Linked DNA regions of Oryctolagus cuniculus. The main gene of each other region encodes a partner of the protein of the gene in region 4 in a complex. Links are inferred from orthologs where the notes say so. Each region holds a gene or a part of one and is shown on either strand. Other genes may lie near its edges. The genes, in order: CWC27, LSM4, TXNL4A, SNRNP40, CRNKL1, USP39 and GPKOW.

Region 1 (3,500 bases), on a different chromosome or scaffold from region 4:
TCGTATTCAGTCAAACTCGAGTTCTTGCTCCCCACCAAATTCTTTGCTTCACTGAGATGCCATGCTTTCTGCCATATCCAAGTTAACTTCTTTCTTCTCTATCAAGACTTCCTAATGATTCTAGAGTCCAGATACTCATACTACAGGAGATCATATATAACCTATCCTGTATGTTTATGACTTCTAAATTGTATATTTATATATAAATGTAAATAATTTCATTAATTTAGCAAACAGATTTGTAGTCTAATTGGACTCACATATATATTATGTTAATTATTTACCTTGTTTAGTAAAAGTTTCTTGTGGAGAGTGCATTGATGGTGGTAGACCTACAATCTGAATAATTTTGATATATTGTGTGTTTGTTTGTTGTTTGCATATTAATGAATTAATTCTCCACGGAGTGAAGAAAAGAAGTAGGAAATAAGAAAAGCAGGAAACTGGATCAGCAACAAAGTAGCCAGGGCTCAAACTGGCACTCCCATAAGAGGTTCAGACACCCCACACAGTGGCTGAACCTACTGCACCATAATGCCTGCCTCTCTGATATTTCTAACAATTTCTTTTATAACTATTTTCTTAAATTCAGGATTCAATAAAATATCACAGATTTCATTTGCTTGATATGTCCCTAGTTGTTGTTGTTGTTTTAAATATTTATTTATTTATTTGAGAGGCAGAGTAACAGAGAGGGAGAGGCAGAGAGAGAGAGAAGTCTTCCATCTGCTCATTCACTCCCCAGTTGGCTACAGCTGCTGGAGCTGGGCTCATCCCAAGCCAGGAGCCAGGAGCTTCTTCCAGGTCTCCCACATGGGTGCAGGGGCCCAAGGACTTGGGCCGTCTTCTACTGCTTTCCCAGGCCATAGCAGAGAGCTGGATTGGAAGTGGAGCAGTCGGGACTTGAACTGGTGCCCATATGGGATACCGACACTGCAGACGGCAGCTTTACCTGCTATGGCACAGTGCCAGCCCTGATATTTTTTAAGAAATAGGAAAAATAAAGTATTGGTTTGGGAGCTGAAGAAAACCAATCTTGGATCAAGTTGTATATTAGCTCTGACAATGGTAGATGGGCTTGATTTTAGATATTGCTAAATTATTTTTGGTTTTTTTTTTTCAGCTTATTATGACAACACCATTTTTCATAGAGTTGTACCTGGTTTTATAGTTCAAGGAGGAGATCCTACTGGCACAGGGACTGGTGGAGAGTCTATCTATGGAGCCCCATTCAAGGCAAGTGAGCTTGGAATGCTTACTCAAAAACGATGTGTCCCTTAAGAAAAAAAATTCCAAAAAGAAATGTTAGTATGCAAAATCAATGTCTGTCACATATTTAAGATTACACAGCATAAGAACAACACTTTTCCCATCAAGCATTCTTTGTAAGTTGTCTTAATGTAAGATTTTATACTAGAATTAATTCAGGGGGAACTCAAGGAGGTAGTGAAAAAGACATGGTTCAGAATAAAGATAGAGTATTTCCTGATGTCTGTCTGTATTGAATATCTGCAGCTCTGTAAATGAAAGCATTTTTTAAACACTGCATATGCTATTCTACTTTAAGTTTTATGTAAACAGTATCTGGAATCTGTAGTAGACTGCTCATCCTGCTATCACCAAATACCAGGCTGGATGGCTTCAACAGTAGGGTTTGTTTCTCATGGTTCTGAGGCTGAGAAGATCAAGCAGTGGTTCGCGGTCAGGTCTGTTTTTCTGGCTTGCAGATGACTGCCTTCTCTGACATCCTCACAGTGGAGAAGGGAAAGAGAAGTCTGGAATCCCTTATTTTTATAAGGACGCAAGCATTATTGGACTAGGGGCCCATCCTTATGACATTGTTTTAACCTTTATTACCTCCTCACGGACCAAAATATAAGTGACATTGTGGGCTAGGAGCTCAGTGTATGAATTTGGGGGTTACACAATTCAGCTCACAGAAGAATATATTCTAAATCATGCACAATAGATCTCGCGGCACAAAATGCACACCACAATTGAAAAATCACAACAGGAAAAGCAACATAAAAAGTGTTAGAAAAAGATACATTAGGAATAGGTCAGTGATTTCTTAACTACCAACAAATCTTAGAAGAACAATGAGGTAATGTCATAGTTAAGATAGAAAGAACTGTGTGTTCAAGTGAAAACTAAAATTTGTGTTCATTATTAACTGCTGGTACCTGTATCATGTTCTTTGAATGAATGAACATCAAAAGCTCTTAGAATTTAGAAGTTTTTGAAAACTTCATATTTCTGTTAATGGGGTAGAATGTCTGGAGTTTCCTTTCTTCTCTGAGTTACTGTGTGAGTCTTCAGAAAAATACTTTATGAATTGTTTGCTTTAATTTCCAGATGATAATGGCCTTAGGAAATAGGAAATGATTATGAAAAAATTTAGATGTCAAGTTAGCCTATTTATATTTACCAAAGTAAAATGACTCATAGTTTTAGAGCCTCTGTCTAGTAGGAAGCATTCCTTTATTCTAGTATTTGGTGTAACAGAATAGCTTTTTTTACAATTCCTTTCTGATTAATTTTTTGCTTTTTTATTTTCATATACTACAATTATTTTGTTAAATTTTTATGTTAGGTAATTTAAAATACAGTATATAGAGTAATGATTCATTGAATTCAGATCTCTTTGAGAATTAACTTATTAAGGAAAAATAACTTCATTTATGACAAGCAGTGATTACATTCATGGCTACATTATACATAATGCAAAATCAGGTCTGGATGGAAATTCTGTGTACTCAATCTTAGCCAAAAGGCCTAGAACCATTGGATATTCTGTAAACAAAGTGGCTTATGTATGTGTTAAGTAACCCTATCATGCAAGATAACCATCTTAGAAAGGCTTGCTCCTGCCCTTTCGGAAACTAGCAGATTGGACCAATGCCAGTTCAGAGAAGATTCAGCTTAGGGCTTCAGTGAAGTCACAGTGAAATCATTTAACATAATCAGAATAAATTCCTTTAATTAAAAAATGAGAAGAAAGCAATTGTTTTACGACATTTATAATGAGATGATGACTATTACCTGAAGACTCTGCAATGACTCAACATTGTTTTCTTGAAGAAAAAAAAGATTTTAAAAGCTTGGATGGTTTTGAGGGATAATAATAGGGAAGTGAATCTTAGAAATCTACTCCCAAATGAATACCCTTCCCCTGCATGTTAGTAGACAGCTTTCCACAAAATATGCTGATCTGTGGCTGAGTATGTCTAGAATATACTTATAGGTTAGTGATTTCTAGTTTAAGTGCATTAAAAGTATAAATATTAGACTTGATTACACTTAAAAGTCAGTTAAATTAAACTTATCATTTTTGTTAGTATTTTGAGATTTTGTTAGTATTTTGAGATCTTACTGGTCAGGTAAATAATCAATTGAATTTGAAATATCTTATAACTGAGAACATTCTCTAAATATTTTTTGTACCTCAGGATGAATTTCACTCTCGGTTGCGTTTTAATAGGAGAGGACTGGTTGCCATG
Region 2 (2,677 bases), on a different chromosome or scaffold from region 4:
CGCACAGTCCCTGGCACGCTTGCCTTTCAGCTTCCCCTGTCGCTGCTGAAGACGGCGCAGAACCACCCCATGGTGAGTGTGCGGGGGCCCTCCCGCCCTCCCGTGCGCAGCCCTGCGCCCGCAGCAGCCGGGAGCTCCCTCCAGTCCCCCGCGTGGGTGGGGGGTGGGCGGCAGGGGGCGCAGGGACTTGGGCTGGGGTGCGCACGCGCGGGAGGTGGTCCACGGGCCTCGCGGGGTCGCAGGGCCAAGCCGGGCCCCCCGGGCGTCTACACCTGCGGCCCCGACTCCCGGCAGCTGGTGGAGCTGAAGAACGGGGAGACGTACAACGGGCACCTGGTCAGCTGCGACAACTGGATGAACATCAACCTGCGGGAGGTGATCTGCACGTCCAGGGTGAGGCCCGCGCCGCCCCGCCCCCCTGCTGCCCCGCCCCGTGGGCGTCACCCGGCCAGCAGGAGGAGGGCAGTGCCCCCACCGCCGGGACCTACCGGGTGATGTGGGAGGGGCGGGGCGGCTCCCCAGGACCCACTGAGGGCCTCCCCCCGGGCTGTGAGCCCCTGCAGACCCCGGGGTGGCCGCCAGGCCTGGGCTGCCCCGCCTCCCGGTGGGAGGTGCTGGGTCAGACCCCGGGGTGGGGTGGGGTGGGGTGGGAGGGACCCGGCGCCTCCCCAGGGTTGGCTCAGCCCCCGGGCCCTGCTTCCAGATCCCCGGCGCCCGCGGGGAGGAGTGACGTCCCGGCCTGTCCTTGGCCACTGTGGAGCCAGCGTGGCGCTGGAGCTGGGCCCCATGGGACCGCCCTACTTGTGTCTGGCTGGCCTTGGGGTCCCCACTGGGAGCCCGCCCTCAGCGGCCTCGGCCGGCGACGCCCACCCAGCCGCCCGGGGAGCAGCTGACCGGAGGGGGGGTTCTGGCCGGGAACAGCGCCTGCAGGCACCGTGCGGGGCTGGTGGCCAGGGCGGGGCCGGTCCCGAGCTGTGTGGACCTTGTCCCTGTGCAGGGGCCCGGGCGGGGGTGTGGCCGGGAAGTGCCAGGATTGCATCTGTGGGACAGGGGCACACAGGGCTGTGGGGTGGGGGCGGGGCGTGCTGGGGGTGCCCCTCTCGGCCCACGGCACCGGTCACTGCCCCGCTGGGCCGTGGCTCCGTCGGTGCCCTGCTCAGGCCCAGAGACAGCTCTAGAAGGGGGGCTGTGGGCAGGGGGAGTGGGGGGTGGGAGAGACCCAAGCAGCCTCACTGGGGGCGGGGCTTCCTGGCTGCCCAGGGGCCAGACAGGCCCTGCGCGGGGGGGGGGGGGGGGGGCGCCCGGGGGGGGGGCGCCCCCCAGCCTCGGCCCTGGCCGCAGCTCAGGGACCCTCCGCCGGGCCGGGCGTTGACGCGCTGCCTCCGGCCCAGGACGGGGACAAGTTCTGGCGGATGCCCGAGTGCTACATCCGCGGCAGCACCATCAAGTACCTGCGCATCCCGGACGAGATCATCGACATGGTCAAGGAGGAGGTGGTGGCCAAGGGCCGCGGGCGCGGGGGCCTGCAGCAGCAGAAACAGCAGAAGGGCCGCGGCCTGGGCGGCGCCGGGCGAGGTGCGGGCAGGGCTGGGCGGGGCGGGGGAGGTGCGGGCGGGGGGGGGGGAGCGGTGCTCCCCTAGGCCCTCAAGCCCTGGTCCTGGCCAGTGGCGGAGCCCCTGTCCTCCCTGGGCCCTTGTCCCGGCCCCCGCCGCACAGCTGGGGAAGCTGAGGCCAAGCCGCCTCTGTCCGTCCCTGCAGGTGTGTTTGGCGGCCGGGGCCGAGGCGGGATCCCAGGCACTGGCCGAGGCCAGCCAGAGAAGAAGCCGGGCCGGCAGGCGGGCAAGCAGTGAGCCGCGCCCCCCGAGACCGAAGCCCTGCCCCGCTGCGGGACCCTCTCCTTCCGGCCGGGCCGCCTCGCCCCCCCCCCCAGTGTGGACACCTGTGTGGTGGTGTTGGTTTTGTGAAGCCCCCGCCCCGAGGCCGGCCCGGCTCCGTGGATAGCTCCGTGGATAGCCCGGCCTGCACCTGCTGGCACGGCCCAGGGCCGGCCCCTCCCGCACGGCGACAGGCCCGCGGGGGCCGTAGTGTCGCCTTCCAGACGGAGTGGACGGGGCCGGCCCATGCGCCTTTGCTTCCATTTCTCTGTGTTCTGAAAATAAAGCCCAGTCCAGCCTCAAGGCCCCTCGGCTTGCGTCCGCCCTGCAGCCCTTGGGCCCCAGGAGACCACATCTGGGGGCCCCGACCCGGCCTGGGGGCTCCACAGGGGCTGGGGGGGTCTCCCGAGCTCCTGGCCCGGCTTGTCCTGCGGCCCCTCCCGTCTTGATAGAGAGTCGGGGAGGGGGCACCCTGGCTGGAGCCACTGTCCGGCCCGCTGCCCCCTCTCTGTTTTCCCACCAGGTGTCACCTTGGTGATCGCCCCCCAACCTCAGGGGGGGCAGGGGTTCCGGTCACGGCCGGGGGGGGGTGACGCAGGGGAGGCCTGGGTCCCCGCTTGGGCGTTCTCCGGTCACGGCCGGCCGAGGCCCGTCTGGAGGGGCGACAGCATTGGAGGGACGTAAGTGCAGCCCCCACGGCTTGGGGCTCCCGGCTCTGCGGCCCACAGCTCCGTGGTGGCGGCGTCTTAGGGGCCGGCGCCGTGGCTCAGCGGGTGAAGCTCCGCCTCGACCCCCCAGGACCG
Region 3 (4,035 bases), on a different chromosome or scaffold from region 4:
CCATTGGAAAAAGGAAGACCTTTCTCTGTCTCTGTCTGTCTACTCTGCCTGTAAAAAAAAAAAGAAGTATCAAAAATCCCAATTTTTGGATAAAAATTTGAAAAAAAAAAAAAAAAAAAAAAAAAAAAAAAAAAAAAAAACAAAGATAAAAATTCAGAAGTGAGCCCAGTTACGATGTCCTAATGAACAGGTTCGATACCACACAGTGTGTGTGCACTAATAACGAGACTCAGTCCTTAACTAACAGGTTAGAAAGAAATCCAGCAAGGTCCCTGAGCCCCTCCAGGAGCCACGGCCACCTGTTCCCAGCCGAGAGCACCGTGCTGGCAGCAGGAGCTGACACGAGGGAGACAGGGCACGCAGACCACACGACAGGTGTGCCCATCCGCCACTGCAGTGGTTCCCTGCTGAATGTGCGCACCTCTGTGCTGCTGCTGACACAGCCCCGGCTCCCCAGCACTCCTCTGCCCTTGCTCTCTTGGAGCCCAGAGGGACAGGCAGAAGGGCAGGTAACTAAGGCATCCCGCTCTGCCCGACCCCGAGGGGTTCCTGAGAGTGTGGCCCAAGGCCACGTCTCAGCAGAACCTGGGCAGCGCCTCTAAGAGCCCACAGCACCAGAACCTGGGCAGCACTGGGAAGGGGCCCTGAACCCCTGCGCCGACGGAGGGCAGGCGAGAAAGGGCTGCTTTGCTGCCGCTCTTCACTTAAGTTATTTATGAAACATCAACATTAAATATTTTACTAACACTTAACAGTGCTGCCAAATAAGTTCCCTAAAACCGTCCTATTTACACAGAACACAAGAGTACACAGTACTGCCCTACAGGCGCACTGCTACGTCAGCAGACGAGCCCAGACCACCTGGGTACTGATTCTAACACCGAGGGCGGGTTAAGCAGCTGTGGGTGACACCAGCATCCCACATGGACCCTGGTTCAAGTCTCCCCGGCTGCTCCACTCGCGATCCAGCTCCCTGCTGATGTGCCTGGGCGGGCAGCAAGCACCACCCAGCCCCTGACCTGCCCAGGCCCTGACTCTAACTCTGCCCTTCACATAAATACTGAAGAACAAACCAAACCCCAGCAAGTGAACAAAGTATCAGGCCCGCGCTCCCTCAGCTGCTCACGGTCAGCCCAGGAAGGTCCCAGCGAGGGCGGCAGCAACCTCAACAACCTGACCCTGAGAAGGTCCCTGGGCACAGGAGGAGGGGCCGGACACAGGGAGGGGGACCCAGACACAGAGAGGCGGGTGGGGCCAGATGCGGGGTTGGAGGGGCGGCCCTGGACACAGACATGGGGCGTGAGGCCTGGACACAGACATGAGGCAGGGGTGGGGGGCCTGGACACAGACACGGGGTGGTGGGGCCTGGACACAGACACGGGGTGGGGGGGCCAGGACACAGACACAGGGTGAGGGGGGGCATGGACACAGACACGGGGTGGGGGGGCTGGACACAGACACGGGGTGGGGGGCATGGACACAGACACGGGGTGGGGGGCCTGGACACAGACACGGGGAAGGGGGCATGGACACAGACACGGGGAGGGGGGCATGGACACAGACATGAGGCAGGGGTGGGGGGCCAGGACACAGACACAGGGTGGGGGGGCCTGGACACAGACATGAGGCAGGGGTGGGGGGCCTGGACACAGACACGGGGTGGGGGGCCAGGACACAGACACAGGGTGGGGGGGCCTGGACACAGACACAGGGTGGGGGGGCCTGGACACAGACATGAGGCAGGGGTGGGGGGCCTGGACACAGACATGAGGCAGGGGTGGGGGGCATGGACACAGCCCCGGAGACGGAAGCGCACGCTCGGGGCAGGGGCCGCGCAGCCGGCCTGAGTCCTCTCCCGGGAGCCGCCGCCTACCTTCTCCGCGATGCTGTACAGCACCTCGTCCATCTTCATACACGTGGGGTCCCAGTCGTGTCCGAAGCGAATGACGACCACGCGGTCCTCCTCCGACAGGATGGCCTGGTCCACCTGCCAGCCGTTGTGCAGGTGCGGGAGCATGTACGACATGGCGGGCACGGGGACGACGCCTGCGGGGCGGCGTCTCGCTCAGCGCCTGGAGGCCCGGCGAGCCCCCCGCCCGGCCCAGGCCGCCCCCGAGCGCCCGGAGAGCCCTTCGCCCGGCCCAGGCCGCCCCCGAGCGCCCGGAGAGCCCTTCGCCCGGCCCAGGCCGCCCCCGAGCGCCCGGCGAGCCCCCCGCCCGGCCCAGGCCGCCCCCGAGCGCCCGGAGAGCCCTTCGCCCGGCCCAGGCCGCCCCCGAGCGCCCGGCGAGCCCCCCGCCCAGGCCAGGCCGCCCCCGAGCACCCGGAGAGCCCTTCGCCCGGCCCAGGCCGCCCCCGAGCGCCCGGCGAGCCCCCCGCCCGGCCCAGGCCGCCCCCGAGCGCCCGGAGAGCCCCCCGCCCGGCCCAGGCCGCCCCCGAGCGCCCGGCGAGCCCCCGCCCGGCCCAGGCCGCCCTCGAGCGCCCGGCGAGCCCCCCGCCCAGGCCAGGCCGCCCCCGAGCGCCCGGCGAGCCCCCCGCCCGGCCCAGGCCGCCCCCGAGCGCCCGGCGAGCCCCCCGCCCGGCCCAGACCGCCCTCGAGTGCCTGGCGAGACCCCCGCCCCGCCCGCCCGCAGCCCGCCGAGCCCACGGAGTCCCCACGCACCTTCCGGCAACACCACAGTCTCCCGAACCACAGCACCTACAGCGCGGGCGCGCGACGCCTACGTGCGCGCTCTCGACGCAGTGCGTGCGGCGTGCGTCAGGACGCGGCGCGCGGCGGCGGCCAATGGGCGGCGGCCCTGGGGGCGCGGCCGTCCCGGGCCCCGCGTGCTCCCCCGGTCGCGTGCTCGTCCGGCTCGGCTCGGACGCGACCGGACGGGCTGGCCCCTGGTGTCCGCCTCCCTGGCCCAGCAGCGCGCGCCGGCCGGTCGCCGTCCTCGGCGCTCGCTCCCGCCACGGACAGCCTGGTCGCCTCCCGCGGGAGCGCGTGGCGTCACCGTGACGTCGCTCCAGGTGACGTGTGAAGAGCGACCGGGGCTCCCTCAGTCGGTCTTCCGGTCTGTGATGGCGCGGGGCGGGGCTGGCGGCCGCGCGGCAGCGGCCCACGCGTGAGCGCCGTGGCCGGCCCTGCCGTGACGTCGCGGAGCCCCGGCGCTGCGGCCGCGCCCTGAGGGGAGAAGTTGCTAATGCAGAACGTTCCGCGAGGGCCGGCGCCCGTCGGGGCTCAGCTCTGGGAGAGCTCGGGCGGGCGGGCGGGCGGGCGGCGTCGGGAGCAGAAACAATTCTGCGTTCTGAGACAAGGCTAGCCCCAAGGGTTAGAGGACGAAGTCGGAATTCTCGGGTGCGAGCGGGGCGGGGGCAGCGCCTGTGCCCCACGGAGCCCCTCCCTACGTCCCAGTCTGTCCTTTGTAAGTTTATTCGTTTGAGAGAGTTGCAGACCGAGAGGCAGGGGAGAGAGCCTCCACCCGCGGTTCACTCCCAGACGGGCCCCTCTGGAGCCAGGAGCTTCCTCCAGGTCTCCCACGCGGGTGCAGGGCCCGCGCACTCGGCCGTCTTCCGCCGCTTTCCCAGGCCATAGCAGGGGGCTGGATCCGGAGTGCAGCAGCCGGGACTCGGACTGGTGCCATTTGGGATGGCAGCCCGCCACACCACAGCACTGGCCCGAGATTGAGTGATTTATCAGAGACAGATCTTCCAACCTCTGGTTCATTCCTTCTCCGGCCTCGCAGCCAGGGCTGCCCCGGGCTGGAGCCGGGAGCCAGGAGCACTGGGGCCACCTGCTGCTGCCTCCCGGGGCACAGTAGCAGGAAGTCTGGATTGGAAGTGCAGCACCTGGGACTCGAACCAGCACTCCATGGGGGTTGCTGGTATCGGAAGTCCTCACCCCTGACTACTCTTCTCGTTCCTAAGAAAGAAGCCAAGCTGGCTTTCCAAAATTCGTAGCTCTCAGGCTCTGTCCGCGGCACTTTGGGGATATAGAAGAGGAAGTAAACACGTTTGGGGGCACGAGGGATGCGTATTCCCGATCTCATTGTCCTC
Region 4 (4,202 bases):
TAGGCCATGGAGGAAAAACACCAGGGTAACAGTGACTGAACAGGTTTTATTATTTAGAGAATGGCAGCTTTGCTCTCATGCCTCCAATATGACACTCTCCTCAACTTCCAAGTATCTCTCCCTCATCCTGCTCTTGTTCCAGTCAACTTCTGATTGCTCAGATCTTAAACTCATATTGGCCTTGGGATTTTTATACTTGCAATTGCCTCTGGCATGAATTCATGCTCCTTAGATCTGGCTCCTTTCAAATATTTCCTCTTTCAAAAATCTTTCCATGATAACTCAAATTTAAGTAGCATCCCACCTTCTACCTAAAATTCATGAATTCCACTGCATTCTAGTACAATAATTAGCTTTAAGTGAAGTTATCTTCCCCATGTATTTGCTCGTATATTTGTCTTTCCCCTCAGAGAAATGAAGCTTGATGAGTATAGGGATCCTGCCTATGTGTCTTGACACTGTTTTCTCAGTCTCTGGATCATTTAATGAATGACTAGACTGATCTTCCCAACAATCTGAGGGTACAGATTATTAGGCAAAGTCGTATTTATTTATTTATTTATTCTTACACATTGTGCAACCTACATCAGTGCTCACAGTCCACATACAAGGAAGCTGGGCAATGGTTCGAGGCTGCCATTTACTCTGGCATGGGTACACTATGAGAGGCCCACAGAGAAGGGCCCACCATAAATCCATTACCATGCTCCAAAGTAGTATTTATTTACCTTATTTTATTTGGAAGGCAGAAAGGTATATACACAGAGATGGGGGGGCAAAACTCCCATTCACAGGTTCATTTCCCATATGCCTGTAAGTTGGTAACTCAATCCAGGTCTCCCACATGTGTGGCAGGAGGCTGGATTGAAAACGTTGAGTACAGACACCCCTATGTGGGATGTGGGCATCCCAAGTGTCACAAAGCTGGCCACCTGTGTGTTTTTTAAATTTTTAATTTATTTGAGAAACAGAGCTCATTCTCTTCTGCTGGTTCACTCCCCAAAGGATTGCAACAGTTGGGGCAGGCCAGGCCAAAACCAGGAGCCTGGAACTCAAGTTAGGTCTCCCATGGGGGTTGCAGCGTCCCAACTATTGAGCCATCACTTGGTGCCTCCCAAGATGCGCATGAAGATGGTATTGTAGTGTCAAAATCAAAATGGAGTGAGATGGCTAAAAGCTAACTGCAGATCTCTTGCTTCTGTACATGTTAGCTTTGCCTGCTAACGGCTAAGGGTGTATCTTGTGAAACTATGTGGGCCCAAATTCCCAGGAACTAGGTTGACAGAAATGTGTCCTTCACTGTTATCTTACAACCACATCTTGGATTTGTTACCAGGTTTGTTATTGCTAACTGTTATCTTACAACCATATTCTGGTTTTCTTTTTATTGTTCACTGTATACCAGAGGTTCGGTTGGAAATTGTGAGCCCTAGTGGACAGAATACTATAAAAAGCTGTGTAACCACTGTTGGGGGCCGTACTCTGGTAAGGAGTGTCAGACCCAATAGGTTACCGGTCCCGATTGGTTACCTTGCCTCTCACTTTCAATAAAATTCCTGTGTGACTGTCACTGGCTTTTCTAATATTCTGTTTTAGCTGATGAGTGGATGCAACAGTATCAGGAATGCAACTCGGAGTCAAACCCAATGGAAGCAATGGATCCTAAGCAGCACTTTCATTCCTATGCCAAGTGCCAGCCCCTGGACTTTGGTTTTTACTCTGAATGAATTGGAAAGCCACTGGAAAGTTTTCGGCAGAGGGCAAAGTGATCTGACATTTAGAAGAACAACTCTGGCTGCTGGATTGTTAACAGACTGTCCCTAAGACGGCAGAAACAGGAAGCCCAATGAGGACCACACAACAGTCATGCCAGACCAGGAGACAGGGATGGAGGCCGTCAAAGTGGTAACAATACCGGATATATTTTGCGGCAGATGCCACAAGGATTTGGTTTAAGAGTTGAGAGGCCAATATCACGAGCAAAGCGGGAGAGGTGTGCTCCCTGTCTCTATCTTACAAGAAATGGAGTGAAGGGCATGGATTCCGAGTTCAACATCTAGATAAGAGTTTGTTTTCCCGTCTGCAAAATGGGGTAACAGTTCCTAACCCACAGGCAGTTACAAAGATTAACGGAGATTTCCTATACAAGGCATCGGTACAGGGATCCTTGAATGTTCGCTATCACCCAGCTGTTGTTAGTAACATTACCGCAGAGAAACAAGGGCTAAGTAGCTTGCCCAGTATCCCGATCCGAGTCAGCATCATCTACTTCCCGCCCTCATTCATTCGTCCACCCACTCTACCAACTTCTTCGTGGATGCAGGACGCCCAAGATGGGCCCGGTCTCAGCGGTGGGCCCAAGATTAACCCCAATTCCATCGCTCCCTCCCAGGGCAGACGAGACGAACAAACGGACCTCAAACGAGGAAACGTGTGGGGCACCCGCAGGGCTCCGGGCGCTCTTACAACGTTTAGCTCCCTGAACTCTACGTAGAGCCCCCTGTCCCCCCAGTGCCGGACCGCCCAGTGCAGCGCTCGGAGGGAGCAGGAAGATGAACTGCGGGCCCGACGCCGCGTGCCACCGCACTTACCGCTTGCAGCAAAGCTCCCGGCGTTGCTTGCTGCTGCCCTGTTCCGGGGCCCGATCCCGCCGCTCCCAGCAGCAACTCATGGCGCTGCCGCTTGACTGGGACCAGCGGCAACTCTGGGCCTTTTCGTTTCTGCTGTTCTATCATGGCGGCAGACGCTTTCCTCAGAGCCGCCACTGACCACACCGACAGCTCTAGGCGCCGTGCGATTGGTTCCGATTTTGTCCTTCCTCCAGGACTTCCTGTTTGAATGAACCAATCGGCTTCCAGCATTCCCCGCTGCAACGCCCTCTGAATAGTCTCTTGTTATTGGTCATAGCCTTCTGACGCCACGGGAGCGTGATCTCAGGATTGGTGGGTGGAGCTGGCGTCCCGCCTAGGCGCGCTGTGTCTTGTGGGTGGGAACTGGCTGACTGGGTTTGGCGTTTCGCGCGATGCCGCGGCTGGGAGACCTGAAGCTGACGCTAAGTGAGTATGAGGTAGCTGAGGGGTAGCTGATGGCTCTAAACTGGAGCCGACGCCACAGCCTTGCGGCCTGAGCCTGCCTTTCAGCCGAAGGTGTTGCTAGCAAAGGGCGGGGGGCGGGCCTCGAATTCTCAGCTTTGGTAAATATTCCCTTTACCGCGCAGAAGTGGAGCTTTGGAGTCCCTGACGGCAGGTCGCAGACGGCGCCGGATGCCTGGGACCCTGCACCGCTGCCTTGATCGGCAGGCGCCTGCTGCGGCCAGCCCTGGGTCAGGCGTTCTTAGGGGGGTAAGGCTCGTATCCCCGCCGCCGCCAGTGCCTGTGTGGCCGAGGAGGCTGACGTGTGTGTGTGCCTCTGATTCTGCAGTCTTTTACTAGGGCCTGCTCCATGCCCCGCGAGAGGCAGTGGCGACGGACATGTCCGGCTCCTTCTCCAGATCGTGGTCTTGTTGAAGAAATTTGACATATAATACCTGTGAACCTGGGCCTCGCGGTTGTCCGGCTTAGCATTCTCTCTGCCTAGCGTTGAACCTAACGCAGTCCCCGATCTCAGGGCTTCTCAGTGTGGTGGGGATAACAGATACCACACAACGACCTCCCTGATAAACGGAAGTGCTAGGGGAGAAGTCTGATGCTGCGAGTGCCTGAAATGAAAAGGCTTTTCTGAGCAAAACGTGCCTGTGCTGCTGTCTACAGGCAAGGAGTGTAGCTGGGTAGAGAGAGGAAGGCAGAGCACTTTATTTGGAGCAACAAGTGCAGAGGTTCTGTGTCGTTTGGAAGGAAAGTGACAAGGGCACAAAGAGCCAGTGTGCTGCTACGGAGGAAGTGAAGGGGAGTACGGTACAGGGTGAAGCTGGAGGCTGTAGAGGCTGTGCAGGAATCTGTCCTTGTTCCTTTCAGACGGGGCTGGGAAATCGCTGAGGATCCTTTCTGGGGAGCAGGGCCTGGCGGAGGAGTGGCAGAGGTGGCTTGATCCCTCAGGCTTCGTGGTGTGAGCAGATTGGGATGGGAGGGACCCTAGTGGATGCAGAAAGGTCACTTACGAGGATGTACAGAGATGCCGGTCAGAGATGTCGTCAAGGAGAACTGAGGGAGCCGGGCATCTGCGGAGAATTGGGCAGATTAATCTAGAGCTCGAGGTAGGGCTTG
Region 5 (3,500 bases), on a different chromosome or scaffold from region 4:
TCTGGCTCTCCGCAAATGTGCCAGGGAGAGAAGTGGATGATGGCCCAAGTAGCTGGGCCCCCACATCCACTTGGGAGACCCAGATGGAGTTCCAGGCTCCTGGCTTGAGCTTGGCCCAGCCCCAGCCATTACAGTCATTTGTGGAGTGAACCAGTGGATGGAAGCAAATACATTCCCACCCCCACCCCTCTCCCTCTCCCTTTAAATAATTTAAAAAAATTATTTGAGCTAACAACTAAAGAAGAAACAACAAGCCACAAAAATAACACTGCTAACTAGAGCCAAAGGAATATGTTTTACATTGCCACTTTATCTAACAGAACATAACTATTTTTAATCTCACTTCCTTGAAGAAGTCGTTGATTTCCAAAGTAGTACATTTACACATGGCAAAAGGTGTTAAGGGCACTGGTCCTAAAGCTGCTCTGCAGGGTTTTTTGTTTTGTTTTAAAGATTTATTTATTTGAAAGTCAGGGTGACAGAGAGTGAGAGTGAGAGAGAGGGAGGGAGAGGTCTTCCATCCTCTGGTTCACTCCCCAGTTGGCCGCAATTGCCAGAGCTGTGCCGGTCCAAAGCCAGGAGCTTCTTCCAGGTCTCCCACATGGGTGCAGGGACAGAAGGACTTAGGCCATCTTCTACTGCTTTCCCAGGCCATAGCAGAGAGCGGGATCGGAAGTGGAGCAGCTGGGAATCAAACTGGCGCCCATATAGGATGCTGGCACTGCAGGTGGCGGCTTTACCTGCTATGGCACAGTGCTGGCCCCTGCAGTTTTTTTTTGACAGGCAGAGTGGACAGTGAGAGAGAGAGACAGAGAGAAAGGTCTTCCTTTGCCGTTAGTTCACCCTCCAATGGCCACCGCGGCTGGTGTGCTAAGGCTGGCGCATAGCGCCGATCCAAAGCCAGGAGCAAGGTGCTTCTTCTGGTCTCCCGTGCAGGTGCAGGGCCCAAGCACTTCGGCCATCCTCCACTGCACTCCCGGGCCACAACAGAAGTCTGGCCTGGAAGAGGGGCAACCGGGACAGAATCCAGCACCCCAACTGGGACTAGAACCCGGTGTGCCGGCGCCGCAGGCGGAGGATTAGCCTAGTGAGCCGTGGCGCCAGCCATGGACATTCATCTTAGTCATCTCTCTCCCATCTTGACCTTAGGTTAAGTATTTCCATTTGGGTCAAGAAATCAGTGTGTAGGAGAGGGATGCTATTTTCACAACAGTTAAGTGGACAAGAAATGGATAGTTTGCCTACATTAAAGTACATTAAATTCATGTATCTTGATTTAAAATCATGTAAGAACTACCAGTTCTATATACATCTTCACTGTTTTACTTGGGGCTTATTCTAGCCTTAAATGTAAGTGAAGTGTTAGGAATACACACAGGCTGCTTGTCTGGAGTTGTTATTACCTATTAGAAGAACTCAGTGAGTGGTGACCACCAGGAAAAGTCTAAAGCTGCCTCCAAATTTAACATAATAGGAGTTTAAGGAATTCATTATATTTTTGTTTTGTCTGTGACTTATGTTTTTACTTTTTTTTTTTTTTTTTTTGACAGGCAGAGCTAGACAGTGAGAGAGAGAGACAGAGAAAAAGGTCTTCCTTCTGTTGGTAACCCCCCAAATGGCCGCTACGGCCGGCGCACTGCGCTGATCCAAAGCCAGGAGCCAGGAGCTTCCTCCTGGTCTCCCATGCGGGTGCAGGGCCCAAGCACTTGGACCATCCTCCACTGCACTCCTGGGCCATAGCAGAGAGCTGGCCTGGAAGAGGAGCAATCGGGACAGAATCCGGCGCCCCGACCATGACGAGAACCTGGGGTGCTGGCACCGCAGGCAGAGGATTAGCCTAGTGAGCTGCGGCGCCGGCCGTGAGACTTGTGTTTTTAAAGATGGGTTTAGGGCCCAGCGCCGTGGTGCACTAGGTTAATCCTCCACCTGCGGCGCTGGCACCCCATATGGGCGCTGGTTCTAGTCTGAGGATCTGGAACTTCCCATTAACGACTCTGTGTCCCGGCCATGACAAGAGCTGCCCCCAGGGCAGTGCACCACTCAGAGCTCATCCAAAGGATATATCGTTCATAAATGGTGCGGGCCCGCTCCACCTCTTTGTACCTCAGCTCGAAGTTGATGTAGGAGTGCCAGGCTTGCTCCTCGGGCTGCCACTCCATCCAGCGCTCAAACACCTGGCGAGCACCCGCAATGTTCCCCAGCATCTCCTCCATGTACGTGTACTTGTACCTTCAACACAGTGACCCAAGACACCTGTTGTACTCCAAGCGTCTTAGTGCAAACACCATCTTTGACAATTTCTAGTTCTCCCTTTATTTAATGAAAAAACTTAAGGTTTTATCTTTCCTAACGGTTAATGCAAACATTTTCTTAATGAAATATAAATCTGAACAAGATGAACTATTAGGAAAACATTTTTTTCTTAAAAGTTGCTAGTTAAATGTGAAGTTTTTAGGCACAAATGATTGCAATTAGCACTTTAGTTTTGATCACATGTGATTAGCTATTAAACGTTTTGATTATGAGTTAATAAACTATAAGGCATTATAAAGCTCTTACAGGATGTTTAAAGTAAAAGTAGACTGCAACATTAATCTAAACAATAAACTGTGTGAGTAAAACAAACACAACAGCATTTTCCAGTCTGAGAGGCTGCTCTGCTAGATCAGGACTTACCAGAACTGGTTGACTCTGGGCAGAGTCGTGATGGCCCGGTCCCAGATATTACGGGCATGGTTGACCTGGCGATTTTTCATTTCCATTTCTGCATACTTCAGCCAGAGCGTAATATTTCGGTAGTCCACATCTAAAGCACGCTCGTATATGGAGCGAGCCCTGAGGAGGCAAGAAGTGAGGGTCTCAGAAGCAGAACAGACAATGCATGGCAGTTACATCAAGCTACCGGCAATGCCCTGATGTTTTATTGGGTGTTTACTGTAAGTCAGGTTTGGGGCATAAAAAAACGAAAAGATGGTGTTCTCAAATAGCTTACAAAATCTATGGAAAGATAAACACGTGTGTGATTACAATGCAGGTCACAGTCGAGTCCTGCAGAGGAAGCAGACACAGAAATGGCAATGTCTGCTGAATGAGCTAAGTGGAGGTAACTCCAGAACGGAGAACATGAGGACAGCCGAGTTTACCAGGACAAGGCTGGTGGGAAGGTGTGCTCCTCCCAGGCACACAGAACTGGAAAGTAACGTGGCAAGGAGAAATGATGTGCTCAGAGTGTGCTGAGAACTTAGGCCCAGCACAAGCAGGGGCTGTGAGGGTATGGAAAGGCTGGACAAGGGCCAGGTCGTGATTTTCAGCTTGTTCACCACTGGTACTGGGTGGAACATTTTTATTTCAAATTTTCAATAAATAGAATTAGACACAGAGTGAATGCTACACCTTACAACCTCCGCCTGCCATTCACCCCAGACCATACTAACACAGTGCCCCTCAAGCCCCTTTGAAGGAACCGCAGGGCTCCAGGAAACGAAAGTTGGACATTACTA
Region 6 (3,500 bases), on a different chromosome or scaffold from region 4:
TGCACCACAGCGCCGGCCCCAAAGAAAGGATATTATTAAATAAATTGTTCAATGCTTGGAGATTTGAATACCTTTTTACAAATTCCTTTGTGATACCCACATCAGCACAGTCTTCATAGAACTGTGCTTCCTACCAGATTCAGTGGGAAGGATGTTCTGAATAGGATTCTCCAGAGGGCTTTGGATTAATTGGAATATTCTATTTGCAGGCACTATCTAATGTTCCTCCTCTCCGGAATTACTTCTTGGAAGAAGACAATTATAAGAACATCAAGCGACCTCCAGGGGATATCATGTTCTTATTGGTCCAGCGTTTTGGGGAGCTGATGAGAAAGCTCTGGAATCCCCGAAATTTCAAGGCACATGTCTCTCCCCACGAGATGCTTCAGGCTGTTGTCCTTTGCAGCAAGAAGACTTTTCAGATCACCAAACAAGGTAAAAACGGTCACTCCTGTTGCTTTGACAACAAAACTAGTTTAATGAACAAATTTATTCACTTTTTTTTTTTTTAAAGATTCATTTATTTATTTGAGAGGTAAAGTTACAGACAAAGAGAGGGAGAGACAGAGAGAAAGGTCTTCCATCTGCTGGTTCATTCCCTAAATGGCCTCAACGGCTGGAGCTGAGCCAATCTGAAGCCAGGAGCTTCTTCTGGGTCTCCCACACTGGTACAGGGGCCCAAGGACTTGGGCCATTTTCTGCCTTCCCAGGCCATAGCTAGAGCTGGATCAGAAGTGGAGCAGCCAGGACTTGAACAGGAGCCCATATGCGATGTTGGCACTGCAGGGGGCCGCTTTACCTGCTACGCCACAGCACTGACCCCTATTTTCACTTTTAATAGTGAATCTTGATAGTAGCCAAATGAGTGACTGATGTACAGCATGGTTAGGTTCCTCACTTCTCTCTGATTGAACTAAGCAATACATTTATTTGGATGCAAAAATATTTGAAATCTGTATGATGTTTTCATAATATGCATCATCTGTGAACTTTCTGAAGACCCTTTTTGTTATGGCATGGCTATTGATGGTGTTTGGGAGTTTACAAGATAGCAGTAAAATGTTCCTCTGAGAACACCTTGCCCTGTGACCAGGTGACAACCAAGCTGTGTAGGACCATTGAATTCCAACAGCTAGCATGGCTAGGGTATTAACCTTTTTTTTTTTTTTTTTAAGATTTATCTATTTATTTGAAAAGCAGAGTTACAGAGAGAGAGGGAGAGACAGAGAGAGGTCTGCCATACACTGGTTCACTCTCCAAACTGCCGCAGCAGCTAGGGTTGGGCCTGTCTGAAGCCAGGAGCTGCTTCTGGGTCTTGCACATGAGTACAGTGGTCTAAGCACTTGGGCCGTCCTCTGCTGCTTTCCCCTATGCATCAGCAGGGAGCTGGATCAGAAGTAGAGCAGCTAGGACTTGAACTGGCGTCCGTATGGGGTGCTGGCTCTGTAGTTGGCAGCTTAACTTGCCATGACGCAACACCTGGACCAGTTCTGTCCATAGTCCCGGCTTTTCATATTAAGGCTGCATCAGGTATGAAAGTTTTGTGGAGAGATTTTTTCTGAGCTGTTGATGGGCCAGCACTGCATTCACAGTGCTCCGTAGATGACTCCTGGCCTAAGGGTGGATGCTGGAGTTGCCCAGCTTTCGACAACACTGGAAAGCTAAAACATCATTGGTTGGAAAATCAGGGTGGCCAAAGAATAAGCTTACCCAGTTTCTCCTGTCACAGCATTGTTGGGCATGATAATTATGTTGTCACACAAACATAGTGTATATATCCCATAGAGTATATATCCCATAATTTCTTTATCCAGTCTTGTTGACAGGCATTTAGGTTGATTCCATGTCTAAGCTATTGTGAATTGAGCTGCAATAAACATGGAGGTGCAGATAGCTCTTTTATTTGTCGATTTTATTTCCCTTGGGTAAATTCCAAGGAGTGGGATGGCTGGGTCGTATGGTAGGGCTATATTCAGATTTCTGAGGTGTCTCCGAACTGTCTTCCATGGTGGCTTTAGCCAGTTTGCCTTCCCACAAACAGTGGATTCAGGTACCCTTTCCCCCACATCCTTACCGCATTTGTTGCTTGTTGGTTTTTGTATGAAAACCATTCTAACCCAGGTGAGGTGAAACCTCATTGTGGTTTGATTCGCGTTTCCCTGATGGCTAGTGATCCTGAACATGTGTCTGTTGGCCATTTGGATTCCCACTTTTGAAAAATGTCACTTTAGGCCGGCGCCGCGGCTCACTAGGCTAATCCTCTGCCTTGCGGCGCTGGCACACCGGGTTCTGGTCGCGGTCGGGGCGCCGGATTCTGTCCCGGTTGCCCCTCTTCCAGGCCAGCTCTCTGCTGTGGCCATGAATGCAGTGGAGGATGGCCCAAGTACTTGGGCCCTGCACCCCATGGGAGACCAGGAGAAGTACCTGGCTCCTGCCATCGGATCAGCGCGGTGCGCCGGCCGCAGCGCGCCAGCCGCGGCAGCCATTGGAGGGTGAACCAACAGCAAAGGAAGACCTTTCTCTCTGTCTCTCTCTTACTGTTCACTCTGCCTGTTAAAAAAAAAAAAAAAAAAAAAAAAAGAAAGAAAAAGAAAAATGTCACTTTAAGTCACTGGCCCATCTCTTAAGTAAGTTTGTTTTGTTGTTGTGGAATTTCTTGATCTCTTTTTAGATTCTGGTATTAATCCTTTATCAGTTGCATAATTTGCAAATAATTTCTCCCATTTGAGACAGGAATCTTTGTCAGCTAGAGAAAAGAACACAGAAGCCTGAGCTTACCCTGGAGAAGTTGTTGGTCATTGGTTTTGGCCGTCCCTGGGTAATGAGACTCAATTTGGGTTAGAGATGAAAATTGAACATGCTAGTGTGGCTCAGAGAGCCTGGTGAGAGAGGAAAGATTGGAAGAGCGACAGCTTGACCTTGAAGAGCGCCAGCAGTAAGTGTTCAGACAGGAGGATAAACAGGACCAGGGTGATGTGGCCAGAGAGGAAGGAGCAAATCCAGGAATGGAGTCACGGAGTCGTGGTGTGGGTTTCCTGAATGACTGCCAGCCTCAGTGTGTGCCACCTTTCCTTTTTTCCAGGCGATGGAGTCGACTTCCTGTCTTGGTTCCTGAATGCTCTGCACTCAGCTCTTGGGGGCACAAAGAAGAAAAAGAAGAGTAAGTCATGCTGCTTGTACAAAGAAGCTCTTGTTAGCTCCCTTTAAAAAACTTTGCAACTTTCCATTCTTTTGTTCTTAACTGTTTATCTTGTGGGGGCAGGGGGGGAGGGTATCTGTCGTACACACAGGCTAAATTTTCTTCCTGAATAGGCCTTATGTTAGTCTTTTTCATAATGTAATGAAATTCTTGAGGCAGGCCAACATTGTAAAAAAAATAAATTTTTTTAGCTCAGTTTTGGATGCTGAACACCCAGATATCATGTCACAGGCCCTGACGAGGGCCCCATAGTGGATGATAGGAATATATATATAAAGAATATTGATATAGGAGGCCAGAG
Region 7 (3,114 bases), on a different chromosome or scaffold from region 4:
TTGGGTAGTTGGGTTCTTGCCTATCAAGTGGGTTGATTTCCTGGCTCCTGGCTTCAGCCCAGCCTAGTTGCAGCTGGGAGCTCTCATACTCTTTCTCTCTCTCTCTCTCTCTCTCTCTCTGTGTGTGTGTGCATGTGCACGCGCGCGTCTGCCTCTCAGATGCACATACTCACACGCATAGAAAGCCAGTGTTTGCAAAATCTGACGCTCCTTCCTCTTCCTGAACCCATTAGGTACCAAAAGAAGCTGATTATGAGGCAGTCTCTGTGGAGGCCTATGGACTGGCCATGCTGCGGGGTATGGGCTGGAAACCTGGTGATGGCATTGGACGCACTTTCAGTCAGTGAGTTTTGGGCTAAGGGTGACGGGGTGGACGGATGGAGCTGTGAACAAGCGCCCCCCCCCGCCCCCTGCCGCCACCACCCCATGGTGACTGCCAACCCAGAACCCTTCAGGCAGGGAGAGAGGATACATTATTCCCCTAATTCAGTAGCCTCTTCCACTCCTGTTTCCAATTCCTCATTTGAAAAGTGGGGGTAACAGGATGGACTTCACAGGCCTCTCGTGAGAGTTTGATGAGATGATACCCATAAAGCACATTGAATAGGCCCCCACCCCAAGTAAGCACAGGCTAAGTATCTGCTTTTATCACACGGACTTACAATCCCTTCTCCACAATTGGAAACTCCAATGAATTTCGAAAAGCAGACAATTTTTCACAAACCATGTGGCAGCCGAACATGATCTGCATTGGCATTGAGCGTTCTTATAGCCTGTTTCTCCTGTCTGGCCTGACCGGGCATATGATTTCTGCTGTGGAAATAGAAGGTTACAAGGAAATGCTTGGTTATGAGGGCCTGCCTCAGATGCCACCGTAGATACTGTATAATATGTAGTGTATGCAGCATGGTGTTAAGTTGAAACAAATGAAGTTCCATTTCTGTAGGTCCAAAACAATCCGAAGTGAGAGATTGGAAAGGGCATTCTTGAACATTCGATGGGGTAGGATTTAGCAGGGGAGAGAGGAAGCCACTGAAGGTGCTTGTATCCCGTCCCCAGTAAATCCATATTCCTTCACGCAGAATAGTGAAGCCCCGTGTCAACTCATTGAGGCCCAAGGGGTTAGGGCTGGGCGCCAACCTGGCTGAGATGAAGGCCTTGACCTCCACCAGTTCCAGCTGCCTTCCAAGAACAAATGTGGACCAAGATCAGGATGACGGGCAGGATACGACAAGGCAGCCCGAAGGGCTGAAGACGGGGACAGCTGTGACGGTCGTTTCTGGCCATTACCGAGGCCGCTACGGGAAGGTAAGGAGCCAGGGTGTCCCTGGAGACCAAGGAAGATGGATTTGAGGGTCGGAGGCAGGAAGCATCGGGTTTGGGGTAAAAGGGCTGGAAGTCCAGGTCTTTTAGGCCTGCCTGGCACACTGCTTCACTAGGTAACACGGCAGGGCCACTTGCTAGGTTTTTCTGAGCTTCAGGTGCCAATGAAAAGGGAGCAGGGCAGGTGTTTGGTGCAGTAATTAAGACGCCACTTGGCATGCCCATATGGAAGTGCCTGGGTTTGAGGCTTGGCTCCATTCCTGATTCCAGCTTCCTGCTGGTGCCCACCCTGGCGAGTGGCAGCTAATGGCTCAGTTACCTGGGGCCCTGCTCCCATGTGGAAGCACCGGATTGAGTTCCCAGCTCTTGGCTTTGACCTGGCCCCCAGCTCCAACTGTTGTGGGCATTTGGAAAGTTAACCAGCAAATGGGATAGCTCTCTGTCTTTCAAATAAATTAAAAAGCTAATTTACAAAAGGGAGTTAGGGGGCTGGCCCTGTGGCATAGTGGGTAAAGCCGCCACCTGCAGTGCCAGCATCTCATATGGCCATTGGTTCGAGGCCTGGATGCTCCACTTCTGATCACGTTCTCTGCTATGACCTGGGAAAGCAGTGGAAAATGGCTCAAGTCCTTGGGCCCCTGTACCCGCGTGGGAGACCTGGAGGAAGCTCCTGGCTCCTGGCTTCGGCTCAGGGCAGCTTTGGCTGTTGTGGCCAAATGGGGAGTGAACCAGCAGATGGAAGACTTCTCTCTCTCTCTCTCTCTTTCTTTCTCTCTCTTCTTGTCCTTCTTTATGTGCAACTCTAACTTTCAAATAAATAAATAAATCTTAAAAAAAAGGGGGGGGGAAGATTCGGGCTGTAGCACTGGGTGTTAAAGCCCTGGCATGCAGCATTGGCATCCCATAAGGGCACCAGTTCCAGTCCTAGCTGCTCCATTTCCCATCTAGCTCCCTGCTAATGTGCCTAGGAAAGCAGCAGAAGGTGCCCCAAGACCTTGGGCCCCTGTACCCACGTGGGGGACCTGATGAAGCTGCTGGCTCCTGGCTTCAGCCTGGCCCAACCCTGGTCATTGCAGCCATTTGGGGAGTGAACCAGTGGGTGGAAAATCTGTCTTCTCCTCTCTCTCTCTCTCTCTTCCAAATAATCTTTTTTTAAAAATGAAAAAAGGAGTGAATAGCAATCATCACGAGTCTCTGAGGATTAAATACATAAAAAATGTCTGTACCCCACCCAAGAACCAGACCCGGTCCCAGCTTTTAGGGGGTCACAAGTCGGTGGGTGAAACAGGGGTCAGGTGTGTTGGAGGTAAGAGATGGACAGCTTGGTCCTAGGAATGTGGGTGGAGTCCACTTAACCTCGCTAACTTCTTCCTCTTGACGTGGTAGGTTGAAGGCCTTGACCCTGACAATGCTCGGGCCATGGTGCGTCTGACAGGGGAGAACTCTGTGGTGACTGTTAGTGAGTACTGCCTGCGCCCTGTCTCCCAGCAGGAGCATGATGAGAACTCCATGGATCTCAGTGAGTGGGCCTCCTGAATCCCCGGAGGGGAGGCAGAGAAGGGAGAAGTGCTCTGGGGCAGGAGGGGCAGGGCCTGTGTCTTGCAATGGGTTTTCCATCTGCAGAGGGGAGGGTAGCCATCTGCCTGGTGGCTGGGATTTCCTGCCAGAGGTCAGGAGGCAAAAAGAGATCTGAGTGGTTTATTTCAGTGGGGGAAGAAAAAAAAAAGTCGATCTAGTATCCCTGGGTTTTTAGCCTTTCTCAGAAGGAAAAGAAACAGGTGGGATTTTTTG

Evidence for each region.
Region 1: SNRNP40 (region 4) and CWC27 share a complex: the UniProt entries of both Homo sapiens proteins name them as parts of the minor spliceosome. The link is inferred for Oryctolagus cuniculus from reciprocal best matches to the Homo sapiens genes SNRNP40 and CWC27.
Region 2: SNRNP40 (region 4) and LSM4 share a complex: the UniProt entries of both Homo sapiens proteins name them as parts of the U4/U6-U5 tri-snRNP complex. The link is inferred for Oryctolagus cuniculus from reciprocal best matches to the Homo sapiens genes SNRNP40 and LSM4.
Region 3: SNRNP40 (region 4) and TXNL4A share a complex: the UniProt entries of both Homo sapiens proteins name them as parts of the U4/U6-U5 tri-snRNP complex. The link is inferred for Oryctolagus cuniculus from reciprocal best matches to the Homo sapiens genes SNRNP40 and TXNL4A.
Region 5: SNRNP40 (region 4) and CRNKL1 share a complex: the UniProt entries of both Homo sapiens proteins name them as parts of the minor spliceosome. The link is inferred for Oryctolagus cuniculus from reciprocal best matches to the Homo sapiens genes SNRNP40 and CRNKL1.
Region 6: SNRNP40 (region 4) and USP39 share a complex: the UniProt entries of both Homo sapiens proteins name them as parts of the U4/U6-U5 tri-snRNP complex. The link is inferred for Oryctolagus cuniculus from reciprocal best matches to the Homo sapiens genes SNRNP40 and USP39.
Region 7: SNRNP40 (region 4) and GPKOW share a complex: the UniProt entries of both Homo sapiens proteins name them as parts of the minor spliceosome. The link is inferred for Oryctolagus cuniculus from reciprocal best matches to the Homo sapiens genes SNRNP40 and GPKOW.

The regions. Positions count from the first base shown.
Region 1 is NC_091445.1:85,773,957-85,777,456, forward strand, and holds part of CWC27 (spliceosome-associated protein CWC27 homolog), read left to right. Parts: intron 1-1,123; coding exon 1,124-1,236; intron 1,237-3,449; coding exon 3,450-3,500. UniProt on the Homo sapiens protein: As part of the spliceosome, plays a role in pre-mRNA splicing. Probable inactive PPIase with no peptidyl-prolyl cis-trans isomerase activity. As a component of the minor spliceosome, involved in the splicing of U12-type introns in pre-mRNAs.
Region 2 is NC_091447.1:65,592,636-65,595,312, reverse strand, and holds the end of LSM4 (U6 snRNA-associated Sm-like protein LSm4), read left to right. Parts: intron 1-30; coding exon 31-72; intron 73-294; coding exon 295-393; intron 394-1,391; coding exon 1,392-1,575; intron 1,576-1,758; coding exon 1,759-1,850; 3' UTR 1,851-2,177; downstream 2,178-2,677. UniProt on the Homo sapiens protein: Plays a role in pre-mRNA splicing as component of the U4/U6-U5 tri-snRNP complex that is involved in spliceosome assembly, and as component of the precatalytic spliceosome (spliceosome B complex).
Region 3 is NC_091441.1:283,671-287,705, reverse strand, and holds the start of TXNL4A (thioredoxin-like protein 4A), read right to left. Parts: upstream 2,801-4,035; 5' UTR 2,660-2,800; intron 2,047-2,659; 5' UTR 2,027-2,046; coding exon 1,874-2,026; intron 1-1,873. UniProt on the Homo sapiens protein: Plays a role in pre-mRNA splicing as component of the U5 snRNP and U4/U6-U5 tri-snRNP complexes that are involved in spliceosome assembly, and as component of the precatalytic spliceosome (spliceosome B complex).
Region 4 is NC_091438.1:141,074,675-141,078,876, reverse strand, and holds the start of SNRNP40 (U5 small nuclear ribonucleoprotein 40 kDa protein), read right to left. Parts: upstream 2,801-4,202; 5' UTR 2,736-2,800; coding exon 2,592-2,735; intron 708-2,591; exon of another isoform or gene 571-707; intron 1-570. UniProt on the Homo sapiens protein: Required for pre-mRNA splicing as component of the activated spliceosome. Component of the U5 small nuclear ribonucleoprotein (snRNP) complex and the U4/U6-U5 tri-snRNP complex, building blocks of the spliceosome.
Region 5 is NC_091442.1:44,666,546-44,670,045, forward strand, and holds part of CRNKL1 (crooked neck-like protein 1), read right to left. Parts: intron 2,836-3,500; coding exon 2,677-2,835; intron 2,230-2,676; coding exon 2,063-2,229; intron 1-2,062. UniProt on the Homo sapiens protein: Involved in pre-mRNA splicing process. As a component of the minor spliceosome, involved in the splicing of U12-type introns in pre-mRNAs.
Region 6 is NC_091433.1:117,025,007-117,028,506, reverse strand, and holds part of USP39 (ubiquitin carboxyl-terminal hydrolase 39), read left to right. Parts: intron 1-209; coding exon 210-435; intron 436-3,082; coding exon 3,083-3,160; intron 3,161-3,500.
Region 7 is NC_091453.1:34,249,268-34,252,381, reverse strand, and holds part of GPKOW (G-patch domain and KOW motifs-containing protein), read left to right. Parts: intron 1-233; coding exon 234-343; intron 344-1,082; coding exon 1,083-1,308; intron 1,309-2,709; coding exon 2,710-2,842; intron 2,843-3,114. UniProt on the Homo sapiens protein: RNA-binding protein involved in pre-mRNA splicing. As a component of the minor spliceosome, involved in the splicing of U12-type introns in pre-mRNAs.